4 linked regions of the Solanum lycopersicum genome follow. The main gene of each other region encodes a partner of the protein of the gene in region 4 in a complex. Links are inferred from orthologs where the notes say so. Each region holds a gene or a part of one and is shown on either strand. Other genes may lie near its edges.

Region 1 (4,161 bases), on a different chromosome or scaffold from region 4:
TTTGCTTTAGTAATCCTAGCTTGTTCTTACTGGAGACGATCCGGCTATCCGAGAGAAAACGGCGATGTAGAATCCGGCGACGGCGAGAAATCGACCGGTGATGTTTTCAAGGCGTCGCCGGTTTTTGAGGAGAAAATAGTTGTGATAATGGCTGGAGATTTGAATCCAACTTTTTTGGCTACGCCTATTTCGAGTAGAGGTAATTCGTTTGGTGCTGGTGATAAAATTGAGAAGAAATTGGAAAAGGAAACTGAAGAATTTGATGATGAGAAGGCGAAAGATGAAGCTATGGATCAAGCTCATGAAGAATCTCAAATCGGCCATTGATGAAGCTACTGAGCTTTGAAAAAAAAAAAACAGAGCAATTTTCTCTATTTTTTTTTTTGAGTTCTTCCATTTTTGGTTTAATTTTTCAATTTTGAGATTCGGGAAATTGTACTCAATTTTGGTTGAGATAACAAAGAGTTAGAAAAAATTTTCGTTTTCGAGTAATATGTTTTCACGGAAATTGTTACTTCGATTTGATACGTGTTTTATTAGCTAACGATAATCATAAGAGTCATTTTGCTAAAAAATAAATAGATCGTTTTTAAATTTTTCAATGAAAAAAGTAAAATTGATGATATATTTTTAATATAATGAATGAAAAGAGTAGAATCAATTATATATCGATTTAGAAAATGAATTATTTGAAGAATCTCGAATGTATGTGCATATGTGACGTTTGCGATTTTATATCTATTGTGATTTACTAATTATATTTGATAATTTATAGTAATTAAATATGATTTAAAAATCATGCTTATTCATGCAATTTATAGGTCGTATCTATCGAATATGATATATAGTTAATCTATAAATTGAGTTACTATTAATATGTAATTTATAAATTATATTTATCTAATATAACTTTCAAATGATGCAAATCAAATGTGATATTAGTCATATTTGTGAAACATGATTTATAATCGTGCTTACCAAATCATTCAAGTACCAATTAAGTTACTCAATTGTATTGTAATTAAATTAGTTATCAAATAATATCCAAATTGTTTACTCAATAATAATATAATTCATTTTAATCTTCTATGATAGAGAAGAATAAAATGGCTAACATAAGTGATTATGAGTGTGTGTATATATATATATATATATACTTCAATGTAAATTTTAATTGCGTTTGGTTTGATAGAGAATAAAATAATTTAATTATATTTTTATTTTATAATTTTTTTAAATGTTATGAACTATCAAATTTAAAAAATAAAATAAAATATAATTTTTTTTTTTACGAAATATTATCGTTAGCTAGGTAAATATATATGCCCCTCTTCGCGAACGAATTTCACATAACAAAAATACAATTCTCCTCTATCTTAGGCCTTTTCTCATTTTTTTTCTTTTTTGCACAATTGTGGAGAAACAATTTTGAATTTTAAAAAATAATCAAAATTATAATATTTCTATATCCTAGAAGGAAAATAATATTACTTTTTCAATATGTGAGTTTAAAAATAATTTTTATATATATTTTTAAATATTTTAAATTATCGTAACCATAGTAATTTTACTTACCTATTACTAGAATATTTTTCTTCAGTTTCTTCTTCCGATTTTTTTCTCAAAGTAAAAAGGCACAAATCTTCCCCAATTTTCCTCCGGCGAAATTGAAACTCCGACCACCGCCGATCCTCCGTTGACTCTGTTTCGACGGTGAAGATGAACCAAAGTCAAGGTCAACAAACAAGTGAAGGAAGACACGAGGATGATGCTGTTCTAGCCGATTTCCTTGCTTCCTTGATGGACTATACTCCCACTGTGAGCTACTTTTTGCCCTTTTTCTTACTGAAGAGATCAATTTTATGTTTTATTTATGTAGGTTAACGCTTTTGATCAGATTCCTGATGAATTGGTGGAGCATTACTTGGGTAAAAGTGGATTTCAATGTCCTGATGTTCGATTGTATGTATTTTCTTCCCATTCTTATGTTGATGTTTCTGCAATTTAGCCTGCTTAGATTAGTTATAGAAAAATTGTTTGGATTGCTCATAAGGAAGATATGATTTTCGTGTGTTTATCTAGAACTATTTTCACTAGGTTTATCCTCTGTCTTGAGCTAACCGTAGTCTTTAAACTCGAATACGATGAACGCGCTCCTCAACCTACGTTTATTTTGCTTGGCGTAGCGAAAGCTCTACACTTTTGCCAAGTGAGCTAAGCCCTGGGGGTTCAAAGGGAGATATTATGTTACTGCAGCAAACAAATAAATTGGGCAAAGGTGCCCATATAATGATGTAAAATCCAGCTTGGGAGGATGTCCTCCCAAGATATTTCCTTCAACGAAGTAATAGAAAACTTAGCTGAATTATGTGCTAGTTTTGTTTAGACTTCTCGGAATATGAACAAAGTCTACATGATCAAGCAAGCTCTTAGCTTCCAAATGTCTTCACAAGTCACCTCTATCTCCCATGAGGTAGTTAACTTTTTCCTGAATCATAATCAATAACACTCTTTGCTTCCAATAGGATTCTCACATCCTTCCAATTGTTCCTGATTGTACGTTCAAGAGCCACTCTTAAAGCAAGTGCTTCAACAGTCATAGCTTTTCCCGCAAACTGGATTGGGGAAACATGGGCATGAATCAGTTTTCCAAGGCTTTCCAGAGCTGCAACACCAATATTTGCCAGTCCAGTATCCACCTGTAAACCTGCATCAGTAAACAATAATATAACATCTTGGTGGGTTGTTGGTGGAGCCGCAAGGCAATACCCATTTTTATGAAAATTAGATGAGCAATTAGCTGAATATCTTTATACTCGTAGCAATCAAACAGTGACTAAGCGGCAGTATTCTCTAGTTCCGTTTTTGTTTTGATCGTTTTCTATTTATCTGGTTTAGCAGTAAATTCAAGTAAAATTTATATATCTGTGAATTGGATTGGTATTTACCTTTTTACAAGTTGTAAATTTTAATATTGTAGCATTTGATGTTTTGTTTGACAGTGATGGCTGGTTTATCTTATGTTATCAGTTTTTAATACTGTGTTGTTGTATTGAGTTTTTCCTTTGGATATGCAGAATAAGGTTGGTGGCAGTTGCTACTCAGAAGTTTATTGCAGATGTGGCTACTGATGCTCTCCAGTATGTTTCTTAATTATTTTATTTTTCTTGAATTCTGTTTCCTCCTCCATCTTATGTTAAGTATGCTGCTAATTCTTCGGCATATTGCTCATCGATTGTCCCCTACTCTTGAGGCTTCAATGCAATTGTTGCCTGTCTAGGTGTTTGTCATTGTATGATCCTTCCAACTTTTAAGTGTTCAAGTTGTTCTCCTCCCCCAAACCTTAAAAAAACTCTTTTTGGTTCGTCTCTAATGAATTAGAAACATTAAGTTGGTAATTTTAGAATCCAAGCCTGTTATATTTTTAAAGACTGCCGACCCTAACTTGACTACACTACCAAAAATACAACACCTGAAATTCTCTATTGTTAGCGCAATAATACTACTACCTCAGGAGATTATTGTGTCTGTGACACTCCAAAACCTTAGAAAAGAGACAAAGAAACAGAAAAATACAATATAAAGAAACTAAGATATGACTTGAGTAGACATGTAGAAAGACCTTGTTTCAGAATATATGATTACAAATAACAAAGCATCCAACTTTCTCTGAACTTCCTTTCTTAATGTTTCCAATGGATTGTTATTTTCCTAATGCTTCTACTGGATTGTGGTAGATCTTCTCAACTGTGACAAATCAGTTGTGTTTTGTTTCGTTATCGACTCAAGATTTTGTGAATGCCTCACTTTACTCACTATTTTGCCTTCACTAGTCGTAATGAAAGTAAAACTCATGAAATGCTGTGAGTCTTTTGAGGATAGATTATGGCTTTATCATCGGAAGAAAGAATAAGAGTTTATGAATGGTCTCTTATGTATCCTTCATGTTTAGAAAGAAATGGATATTTATGAAACGGGCCATTCCAATAGAGAAACAACATAATGCCAGTGGTTGAAAGCAGGCAGGTCGATGAAAGTTAGGATATATCAGGAGCAAGGGGTATCTCCATTGGTATTCTGTGTAGAGACTAGAAATATGGTTGAGACAACAAGATGGCAGTGGTTGAAGGAAGGAAAGTTGATGACTTGTGGGTAGACCAG
Region 2 (2,176 bases), about 7.0 Mb from region 4:
TTACCTCCAGTTGTGCTACAATTCACAGTTTATGTCAACTCACAACATGTCTTAGTGGTTATGCTGTGGAATGTATGCAGAGTTAGCAAGTGTGTTTAACTAGATAGTGGATGTATGGTTATTTTTATGAATTCTCCAGAGTTTTGGTTGTTTATCAAGTAGATGATCAGAGTTGTTCTTGCATCTGATGTTGACTCTAATTGCTGTGCCAAATTTCATACTAAAGTTGCATGCCTAAAATTCATACTTGATCGCATAGGGTGTCTGTATTGAAGTTTAATTTCAATAATTATTTTCAGTAAATTGTTAACATCATTGATACATTGATTTGTTCCCAGAGAAAAGCGAATTAAGCAATCAAATTTCATCTCTATAACTTGGTACTACATTTGTCCTTTATGAGGTGCATGGGAACCCGGTTAATCATAATTGTGTGGCTTCATTAGTAAACATTTTTTCTTTATCCTGCAAAAATATATTCATCAGCATCATCTATGTATATTTCAATGTAAAACTGTAAAGTTACATATTTCAATAGTGCTTTCAAGAATTAGTGTTTTTGTAATTTTTTTTGCATGTTGTATGTTGTAATTGTGTTTTTAATCGATGTCCATTTTTGCTACTTGAAAATCCACTTGCTGATTGACACCCTATGCATTCTTCCTGCCCTATGTTCTTTCTATTGCCATTTAGAACTGTTTATATATTTTATTGGCTCAAGGTTTAGAAAATGTTTAATCTATTGGATTGAATGAAGAATATGTTGTTTCTTTTATATTATATAGTTCCATCGGGTTAATGATATATTTGGCTGGCTTTATTTAAGCTGAGGGTATATCGGAAACCACCCCTCTATTTCTACGAGATAGGGTAAGGTCTGCGTAGTCTACTACCCTCCTAGACCCTCTTGTGGGATTGCACTGGTTATGTTGTTATTTGTTGGGTTAAATTTATAAATGGGATGGGGGACCTTTTGTGTATGCTGAACTTACGACTCCCTGTGCTAACCTGTATAGTAAATATATCTCTTATGCTCATGTCTGTCTATACTTTGACAGCCGTGGCGGTCGCGGAGGTTATGGTGGTGGTGGTGGCGGGCGCAGGGATAACTACAGAGACGGTGGAGGTTCCGGCCCAGATAGACAGTTTCATGGTGGAAATCGTTCACGTCCTTATTGAGTTCCAGTCGAGCATTTTATGTACTAAAATTTGTGGTGGGAGGGTTTTTTAGTTAGTTCCATTTCAAGATATACTCTCTGTGACTTAAAAGAGGTAGGCTGTTAACTCACTTCCATTTGAGCAATATCCACCTTCTCTTCTTTCTTTCTGCTACTTGGGGTTGCGTAAGGGGTGGGGTTTTCTAGTTCAGAACCTTTTTTGATATGTTGAATGTTTTGATAGAGGCGATTGGATATTCTGCAAATTGCTGCTAAGGTAGGTGAAATATTCAGGTGAGTGTTACTACTGTGGAAAACCGATTACTCTGGTAATTTAAGCTGAATGATGTTTGGTCTCTTTAAGTGATTTTGCTTGCATTTTGGAAATGCTAGCATCTCTGCACTAGACCCCTTGTATAATGAATTTGTTTCCTATATGATGTTGCTGTTAATTACTTGTACTGTTTTCTTTTATTGTGTATCTGCTAGTTCAGTTTCTCTTCCATGGAAGAATATGGAGGACAAGTCTCTTGTACTAAACACATTTTTCAGCATGAATGGCGGAGTACAATGGTGAAGTACTTGGTAATTTAATTGTAGGGATTAATGTTTGGATCAGAAAAAAGACATCCGACCACACAGCTATACAAATAATGATGATGTGTTAGTTACAATTTGAGAAAACAAGACTGTAAATTGATTGTTTGGTCTGAGTGCTTGCATGTTGGTTCTCAATCTATTCACAGGAAATAGGACCAGTGTCCAATTTTTTTGTCGTTCTAAATAAAATTCCGAGTGGCAATAGTTTTTCTTTGTGTGGAGCATACATTGGAAGTAGCTTGAATTTTCATTTTGGTACTTCTGCAGGTTTTTTGTACCCCATTTTTAGCCATGTGTCTGTTTTTATCATTTTCAAATTTGGTACAACAAATGAGTACTTTTTAGTGGGTAGTAGGATATTCTAGTTGTATGACCTTGGCTTATTCTATTATTCATACTATTCAGTCAATTAGCATTTA
Region 3 (4,212 bases), on a different chromosome or scaffold from region 4:
CTTTCTTTTAATAATAATCACGATAAATAAATTAAACGGAGAAAATAACTCAAGATCTAAAATAGTAAAAGAAACAAAAAAAAATTCATATCATGATGCAACCAACTAAATATTTTATTGCAAATGTTTCATCATGTAAGCAATATCAAATGAGACATTTTTAATATAATTTTTTCAAGGTTAATACTTGCCACTTGAACCACTATCTTCATGATCAATAGAATGTGCGTTGAGTGAGCTGCATACACATGTTCCATCAACACAAATACATTTTGGAAACATATTTTCATGATTGTTACAATCATCTGTTGTGCTACATTTTCTCATGCCTGTCGCCACATCTAAAAAGTTATAAAACAATTGTTAACATTTTATAATACGTATTGACAAAGTAAAGAACTACAAAATCAACTGATCTGAAGGAAAAATGATAAGAGGAAAACAAAATAGACTAACCACAAGAAGCAATCAAGAAAGCAACAACAAAAAGTGCCATAATCGAAGTTTTGTCCATCTTTTTGTAAAATAATAAAACCTTTAAGAATTTTAGAGTGTTTCTTAGTTTTTATCGTACACAACCTTATATAGCATTTAGCATTGAAAACTTTCAAAAGAAAAAAATTTATTACAATAGTCTTGTTTTAGACTTTTAGTGATTTTCTTTTATAAATTTCTTGATTTGATTAATTGGTCAACAAAATTCTTTGTACTTAGTCAAAGAAATATTAAAATTCTAATTACTAACCATAAAAGAACAAAACTAAAAATGTTTTTAAAGTATGTGATATTCATTTAATTTGCTCTCCCTTGTATATGGGCCAAAATGAAAATAATTTGGTTAAAATCCTAGGCCCATTACTAAAAAACCATCTGTGATTTGTTTGGCCACAATTGCAAGAAGGTAAATGAAGGGTTGCGTATCGATTTCGTTTGATTTGAGGTTTATTGGTTATTGATTTAGAGATGTGCTAAATTATTTTAGAACTATTAAAATATTAACTTATCAGTTATCGATTTATTAATTATCAACTGTTATTGATTTGGTAATTTGTTTAACCGTTAAGATTTGATTTAAAATAATCACTTAAAAATACTGTGACGAACAAAATGAGTGGACATGTAAGTTCACATATCACATCACTGTTGAATAATCGAGAATTTGAGACACTCAAAAATAAAAAAGATAAATTTATATAGTAAATCAAGGACATTATCTACTAAATTGTATAAATATAATTCTTTAATTTACAATCAAGTTATTAGTTAATCCATTAAAAAAAATAATTTCAAATCATTAAAACTAATATCTCACTAATTAAAAAAAATCAAAATCGTTATTAAAACCGCTAAATCAATAATTTATTATCAGAGGCAATAACCTTTTTTTATTGGGATTATCTGTTTCCGTCCGCTTGAACTGCCCTAATTCATGAATCCAATCAAATCCGACCCGACCCGACCCATGAGCTAATCCAATTTAAACCCACAACCACATCAGCGAAATCGACCCGTCAAATTTCTTCAGACCGGCCGCCGGCACGCTCGCCGGAATTATCTTTGGTGAGAGATCAGTATCACAGAATTTGGCTCGCCAGGTATTTTTCTTTCTATTTGGATTGATCAATTATGATTTTGCCTAATATTGCAATGAACAATTTTTTTGGATAATCGTGGTGTCCGGGCTAGCTTTCGTGCAGTTCAATTGTTTGAAATCAGCTGGAAATCTTTCCGTTTATGACCTATTTCATGCTACAGCTGTTCACATACCTTAGATTTGTTCCGTGTTTATTTCGTTGGCAGAACCGATCCATTCCATTAGGGGAGGCCTGTTTCATGCTATAGCTGTTCACACTTTAGTTTTGGAAATGTTTTTAGGTTAAATCACATGCAAAGCTTGAATCTTTAAGGGTTGTTTGGTACAGGGAATGGGATAGACAAAGTTATCCTACCATATATATGATGGGATAAACAATCTCGGGACTAACTAATTTCCCTAACCAGATGCAGGATAAAATAGTCCTGCATTTTGTCTCGGAATTGTTATTCCTTATCCATCATACCAAACGACTCCTTATAGTCTTAGTTTTGTGACTTAGGATGTACCGGGAGGATGTCTTTGTATACCCACCAGGGCTTTGGTTATTGAGTGATGTGGTGGTTAGGCGTAAGTTACGTGTTCAAACCCTTTTGTTGGAAAAGCCTGGTATTTAAGTGGGAAGGGTAAAGGAATGAGCCCATTATACACCACAACAGACTGCAGGATCCTATCGGTTATGAAAAAGAAGAGAGGATATCTTATCATTGCTTCGTTGATGAAAATTTAACAGGGCAATAACTGCAGTTATATAACAAAAAATGTACCAGCGCAAGTAGACAACTACTTAACCTTTTGGTCTCACTTGAAATAGTACATTGTTTTTTTGTTGAAACTGATAACATGAAATAGTACAGTATTTGTCTTCTATATTTCATTTTTATCTTAATCTAGACATATTGAAGGATGGTGTAGCTTCTAGTTCAAACTTCAACAATGTTTCTTTGACATTGTTGCTTCATCCTTATCTTTACTTTCCTTCCTTCCGAATGCTTTAATCTTTTTCATCCTTGCAATGATCATTTGATTTGAGAATATCTGAGCTGCATCAGTTCAACTCCATTAATTTATCAATCGACCTGGTTGGAGAGTGTGGCCATTTTGTGAGGTCCAAATCAATCTAGTTATAATTTACCATGCCTCCCTAAAAAATTGTCTTGAACATATCACATTATTGTGTTGGAAGTTGGTATATCTCAATCAAAATGGATGAATGATTAGCATGGTGAATAATTTACTTGAATCTAAACATTCTGGTGCAGCGAATTCTATGAAGCGATCTAAGGATCCTTTTGAGGCTACTTTTGAGGAGCAGGATGACTCACCCCCTGAATCCCCTGCTGGAACCGATGAGAATGAAGGCCAAGATCAAGGTGCAGTTGGTGTTAATATGAATGAAGGTGACGATGTTAATACCGATTCTCGTGAAAAACCTTCAACATCTAAAGCTACATCAGTCTCTGTTAGTACTGCTGGTCCAATTAGCAAACCCAAAGAGGAAGATGAGGAGGAAGAGGAAGAAAGCATGGATGTGCAGTTAGGAAAACTCTCATCAAGTAGTGATCCTGACAAACTGGCGAAGATGCAGTAAGTTTGTCAGTTTATGTTTTCAAATATCTCGAACTCTTTCTGTTTACAAGGATTCCATTCACAGAAGATTGTCAAGATTGTATGCTATTATCCTGTTCTGTGATAGCTTATGTGGGTGGTTGGACCTGCCTACTGATCAATTTGCATAAAAGAATAACTCCTTTTCTGATGATTTCTATCCCTTCCTCTCACCTTCCTTTCTTTCCTTGTTGATTTGTTACTCAGACTATTAATTTAACTCTCTTTTGTATGCTGTATTCCCTCAGTATATCTGCTGTATCATTTTTTTTTTAACAAAAAGTATGTATATATAACCAGCAGGTCAATGCTTCTATTGAGATCTGTGAACAGATCTCATCTAGCTTGATATGCTTGATTTACTGCAGATAAACACCAGTAGGAAATATAGTAGCTGTTAAATAATAAATTGACATTTTGTATCAGCATTGTTAAGTAAGGGCAATATGGAGAATAACTAATTTAGTATGGAAGAAACCATATTGTGGTCAAGGCCAATAAAATGGGAATTGTACATTGCAGTTATATATATACTTGTTATGCTAAAGTTTTTCTTCTGCACCTCCTTGTTAAACAACAATATACCTAGTATAATCCCATAAGTGGGTTCTGGGAGGGTAAGATGCACGGAGACCCTACCCCTACCTTTGTGGGATAGAGAGGTTGTTTGGATACATCCCTGGCTTAAAAGGGAAGCTATTCATTGAAGGGTTGCAATAAGAAAACATGAAAACAAAATATCAGGACACATAGCAAAATGAAGCAACAAATAGTAGAAACACATAGAAAAATAAGAAACTATGCGAGTTACTAAATACTACTACTAATAAGGAGAAGAGGATATGGCATTGCCTCTCCCACCAAACGGGCGACCACACGCGGCTACCTACTAAATTTCTACTCTAATGCTCGACCTCCAGGCCTTCCTATCTAGGGTCTGCACCTCGTTTTTACGTGAGCTCAGTTTAGAATATTTTTCTATCCTATAATCAGCAGCGCTCTACCTGGTA
Region 4 (4,135 bases):
TATAATAAACAATCATTTTATACATTTCCTCAAATAATTATTGTTTAATTATCATCATCATATTTAAGACTTTTGAATTAAATAAAGTCCTTATTTGATTTAAGTAAGAATTTATGATATTTAAACTTCTAAATTAATTACCATTTTACCTTTTATAGTCAAACTTTACCAAAAAAATACAGCTGTTTCGTCTACATCAACATTTTTTTCATTTAGGTTTTGATTCAGGTTGCCTTCTTGCATTTGTTATCATCATCCTTCATTCAGGTTTCGATTCAGGTCTACCCCTTTTGAACAATTTCTTGTGTTTCTATTTCAGTTGAAAATTTGGAGAGAAGAAGCATGTCGCAGCCGCCGAAAAGATCAAATTAAATCTATCATGCAGGACAAATCAAAGGTTTATCTCTTTTCTTTTTCCACCAATCTTTTTCTACGGAAATGGTGGTTCTTTGATTGCCGCAAGATTTACTCCTTTTAAATACATTCGATAGTTTTTCTGCCATTTAAAATGTAACAATATATAACATTATTATCATAGTAATTTTTGTTAATTTGATTATTGCTCTTTTTTCTCTCTCTCTAAATGTTTTCTTAGACTACAAGTATTTGTAATAAATATTTATTTTATTATATTTGATTATAGTTAAAATAAAACAGATAAAAAGATCAAATAAGTAAATGATTTATATACGACGTGGCGTTGAATGCAAATACAAAAGAAAGAGAATGGAATAATAATTGACATTCTTTTTTGGTCAATAGAATTTAAAAGATTAATCATTTTTTTTTTTTTGAATGTGAGGAGTTTCTGATTAGCCAACAATCCACCCTATAAGCACAGTTCATGTTACCATCACTTGATGAAATTTACATTTAAGGCTAGGTGACGCCTTCTTATCACATAAGACTCTGAAAATAAAACTTCCACTTTCTCAATCTCATATCAATACGTTGGGTGTTACTTGTCAATCTTTCCGTTTTTAGATAATACATCCAAAATACTTGAAACTATCTCTCTTTTGGATGACTAGTATATCAAGTCTCACTTCTCCACATCAGCCTCATGCACCACATTGTTAAATTTGTACTTTGAGTATCCAATTTTAGTCATGTCCTCAGCCCGAATCATTCACTGTAAAGTCTATTTATAAATCTCTATGTGAACGTTAACTCCGTCGCTAGTCTCACCAATCAAAATTATATTATCTGCAAATAACATATACTGTGACACCCCACCTTAGATCTGCCATATTAATACATTTTTTAAATATTAATTCTTAGTAGTATTTCAAATATACATGATTATATACTATTGTCTCACCGGTTCACATTAGCATAAAAAAGTTTGCATCTTTTGACTCTAGTTTGTTGTGATAATCTTTGATTTTTGCTTCCGAAGATAAATAAATTTCTCACAAAATAATATATTATGTCCTTAAAAAACTTATTCTTCACTAAGCATATGGGTCCATTTAAAGGGCAAATCTTGTGATTAAGAGAGAAATTGGAGCCTAACCAAAAAAATATAAAACAAAACACCTTCCATAAACAAAGTGACGACGACGTCGTATTAAGTCCCTCCAGAAACCCCAAATCAAAATTCTCGGTCCTATAAACCCCAGGTGTTTTCTTCTTCTTCTTCCCAATTCTCAAAATCTTACCATTTCTCGCCATGGATGAAGAAGAGATTGAGAAAGCAGTCGTAGCGTATTTGAAGAAGAAGGGTTTCAAGCAAACGGAGATTGCTTTTCAAGAAGAACAGCAAGTGAATAAAAACAGTTCTTCTTCAATCCATAATAACAACAACTCAGCAAATTCTCAGATTGACCCCGACTTAACCAAAAAAATCCTTTCTTTCTCTGAGTAAGTTTCTTTTTTCCACTTAATTTGATGTAAAAATTACTGTTTGGCTAAGAGGATTAAGTTCTAAAATCAATTTACCTTGAAAGATAGTTTAATTTCAATGAAACACGTTTAAGTAGAGAAGGATTGAGTACAGAAGATCTGAAAACTAGTTTAGGGTTGAGAGGTGACTTGGTTGTTGGAAGAAAAGCAGGAGCAATATAATTGAAGCAGTTTTTCTGCACCCTCCAGTAGCATTTCTGCAAATGCCCAAATTGACCCTGAACCGTCAGACAAAAATAATCTGTTCTCTGTAGATAACATAAATTTAATTACTGGACCCATTCTAAAGAGGGAGAAATCAGCACTACTTGGTGAAATAGGTTCTTTTTGAATCAATTGTCCTCTTCTCCTGTATTTTAAATGCAGAGTGCTTAGCCATGAGGTTGCGGTTCTAAATAGCATTGACAATGCCCAGAACCACTTTTGAGGTACTAGCACACTGTCTAGGAATTGGAAAGAGAGGATCAAAGGAAATTTGGCGGAAGAATATCCCTGTTTGTATCTGGTGGACGTTATGAAAAAAAAAGGAATGAGAGATATTATGAAGGGAAGGGTAGCAGCACACAGAAGATCAAGATGAGATCTCTTAGTATTATATTTTTTTGGTGTAAGCAAGATTTAGTGGGGACAATAGATAGCTTAGTGGAGATTATAGGCCAACTGTAAATTTTTGAAAGTTTGTTTTTGGATTTTGAGTATGATGGCATCCCCTGGGGTTTGTAAATTCCTCCTCATCAGTCTGATGAGTTCTTTTGTGCGGATTTAAGTTACCTATTTCAAAATAAATAAATAAATAGAGGGGATGTAGAGGAGGATTTATGAGCTGACCCAAAGTCTCAAACTGTTTAGGATTGAGGCTTCATTAGTTGTTTCAAGAAGGGAAGCAACAATAATTGTGTGTTTGGTATGGAGGAAGCTTTGGTGTTATTTTACATTCTATTAGTGACATTACACTTTGGAGCTTCCTACTTTTAGAATATTACAGATATAGATGGATAGATGTTATGGCTCCGTTTTCACACCGCCTTACACTAGCTGGAAGTCTTGACAGCTGTATAACGCATACTTTCTGGTTATTTTCTTAGCATGCATCTTTGATATCATTCTGAATCTAAATTTTTATGTTTTCAGATTTGAAACCAGTCCCCAACGATACCAAGAAGAATATAGCAAACTTCGGTCATGGGCCTATAGTTCACTGGATCTGTATAAGGTTGGTCCCCTGACTTGTGCTAACAGTAACATGAGAAGTAGTTTATGCAGTATCATGATGCATAGCTCCTCATGACATGTAATGCACTAATAATAGGTCTGCCACCAGTAACACCATAGGAAATAAACATAAATGGAAAGGAAAGGCTTTCATTTTCTCTTTTATTTAGCCCTTTTTAATCCTTAACATAATGTATTAGTGATGTGCACCTTGACCTATTAATACTTCTGCTGCTGTCTTTCTGGCAGTGACAAGGTCTTCAAAATTGAGTTCTCATATTTGTGATTCTCAACTCTAGTTCATTGACTTATGCTATAAATGTAGCACCAGTGATGGATTTAGTACTGTCTTCTACCATTGCGATCATAATAGCGAGCCAAAAATAGCTCTTCATAACATAAGCATGACAAGCGTGCCGTCTTCATACAAGTTAGGTTGTGTGATTATACAAGCCAGATGAAAAAGTGATGAAAATGGTTCCATATGTTTGGTAGGTTCAAGTTGGTCCCTTAATACTCTTGAACAATTTTGGTCCTTTAAGTTCACCAAAAGCGAAAACACCCTTTGGGGGGGGGGGCAGTGGTTTGGGCTTGGGGCTTCCATTTTGGAGGTTTCAAGTTCGAAACCCCTTGCTAGCAAAAGCAAGGGTCCAGTTTAGAAAATCAAGAGATAATTTACCTTTTGTGTCCTTTGTTATTAAATACTATTTATCATCTAACACATTTTCCAGAGCATTAAATTTAATAAAGTCAAAGGATAAAATAGTAATGTTACCGCTATTATTTATTGTTTCTTAAGGGTGTGCTAAGTCAATAGTAGACAACTATTGTTGGACCAAGGGAGTAACATCTATAGTTTCAACGTTTGCCAGCTTGCTAATTTTGGTTTATTTTTGGAGGATGGTGCAGCTTTTGAAGTGCAATTTTGCCATCTTTTAATATCTATTGTGTGGTATATGGTTCAATTTTTGGTGTTGCAATTTTCAAGATAGGACAGGACTTTTTGGTGTTTTTGGTT

What was found.
Region 1: transcription initiation factor TFIID subunit 5 (region 4) and transcription initiation factor TFIID subunit 10 share a complex: the UniProt entries of both Arabidopsis thaliana proteins name them as parts of the TFIID complex. The link is inferred for Solanum lycopersicum from reciprocal best matches to the Arabidopsis thaliana genes TAF5 and TAFII15.
Region 2: transcription initiation factor TFIID subunit 5 (region 4) and transcription initiation factor TFIID subunit 15b share a complex: the UniProt entries of both Arabidopsis thaliana proteins name them as parts of the TFIID complex. The link is inferred for Solanum lycopersicum from reciprocal best matches to the Arabidopsis thaliana genes TAF5 and TAF15b.
Region 3: transcription initiation factor TFIID subunit 5 (region 4) and transcription initiation factor TFIID subunit 11 share a complex: the UniProt entries of both Arabidopsis thaliana proteins name them as parts of the TFIID complex. The link is inferred for Solanum lycopersicum from reciprocal best matches to the Arabidopsis thaliana genes TAF5 and TAF11.

What each region holds. Positions count from the first base shown.
Region 1 is NC_090811.1:67,585,577-67,589,737, reverse strand, and holds the start of transcription initiation factor TFIID subunit 10, read left to right. Parts: upstream 1-1,347; 5' UTR 1,348-1,719; coding exon 1,720-1,818; intron 1,819-1,897; coding exon 1,898-1,962; intron 1,963-3,077; coding exon 3,078-3,140; intron 3,141-4,161. Other genes in the region: protein GLUTAMINE DUMPER 2, read left to right, coding at 1-327. UniProt on the Arabidopsis thaliana protein: TAFs are components of the transcription factor IID (TFIID) complex that is essential for mediating regulation of RNA polymerase transcription.
Region 2 is NC_090805.1:50,539,672-50,541,847, forward strand, and holds the end of transcription initiation factor TFIID subunit 15b, read left to right. Parts: intron 1-1,058; coding exon 1,059-1,179; 3' UTR 1,180-1,612; downstream 1,613-2,176. UniProt on the Arabidopsis thaliana protein: TAFs are components of the transcription factor IID (TFIID) complex that is essential for mediating regulation of RNA polymerase transcription.
Region 3 is NC_090804.1:5,061,208-5,065,419, reverse strand, and holds the start of transcription initiation factor TFIID subunit 11, read left to right. Parts: upstream 1-1,387; 5' UTR 1,388-1,595; intron 1,596-2,856; 5' UTR 2,857-2,864; coding exon 2,865-3,181; intron 3,182-4,212. UniProt on the Arabidopsis thaliana protein: TAFs are components of the transcription factor IID (TFIID) complex that is essential for mediating regulation of RNA polymerase transcription.
Region 4 is NC_090805.1:43,576,753-43,580,887, forward strand, and holds the start of transcription initiation factor TFIID subunit 5, read left to right. Parts: upstream 1-1,322; 5' UTR 1,323-1,672; coding exon 1,673-1,863; intron 1,864-3,036; coding exon 3,037-3,118; intron 3,119-4,135. UniProt on the Arabidopsis thaliana protein: TAFs are components of the transcription factor IID (TFIID) complex that is essential for mediating regulation of RNA polymerase transcription.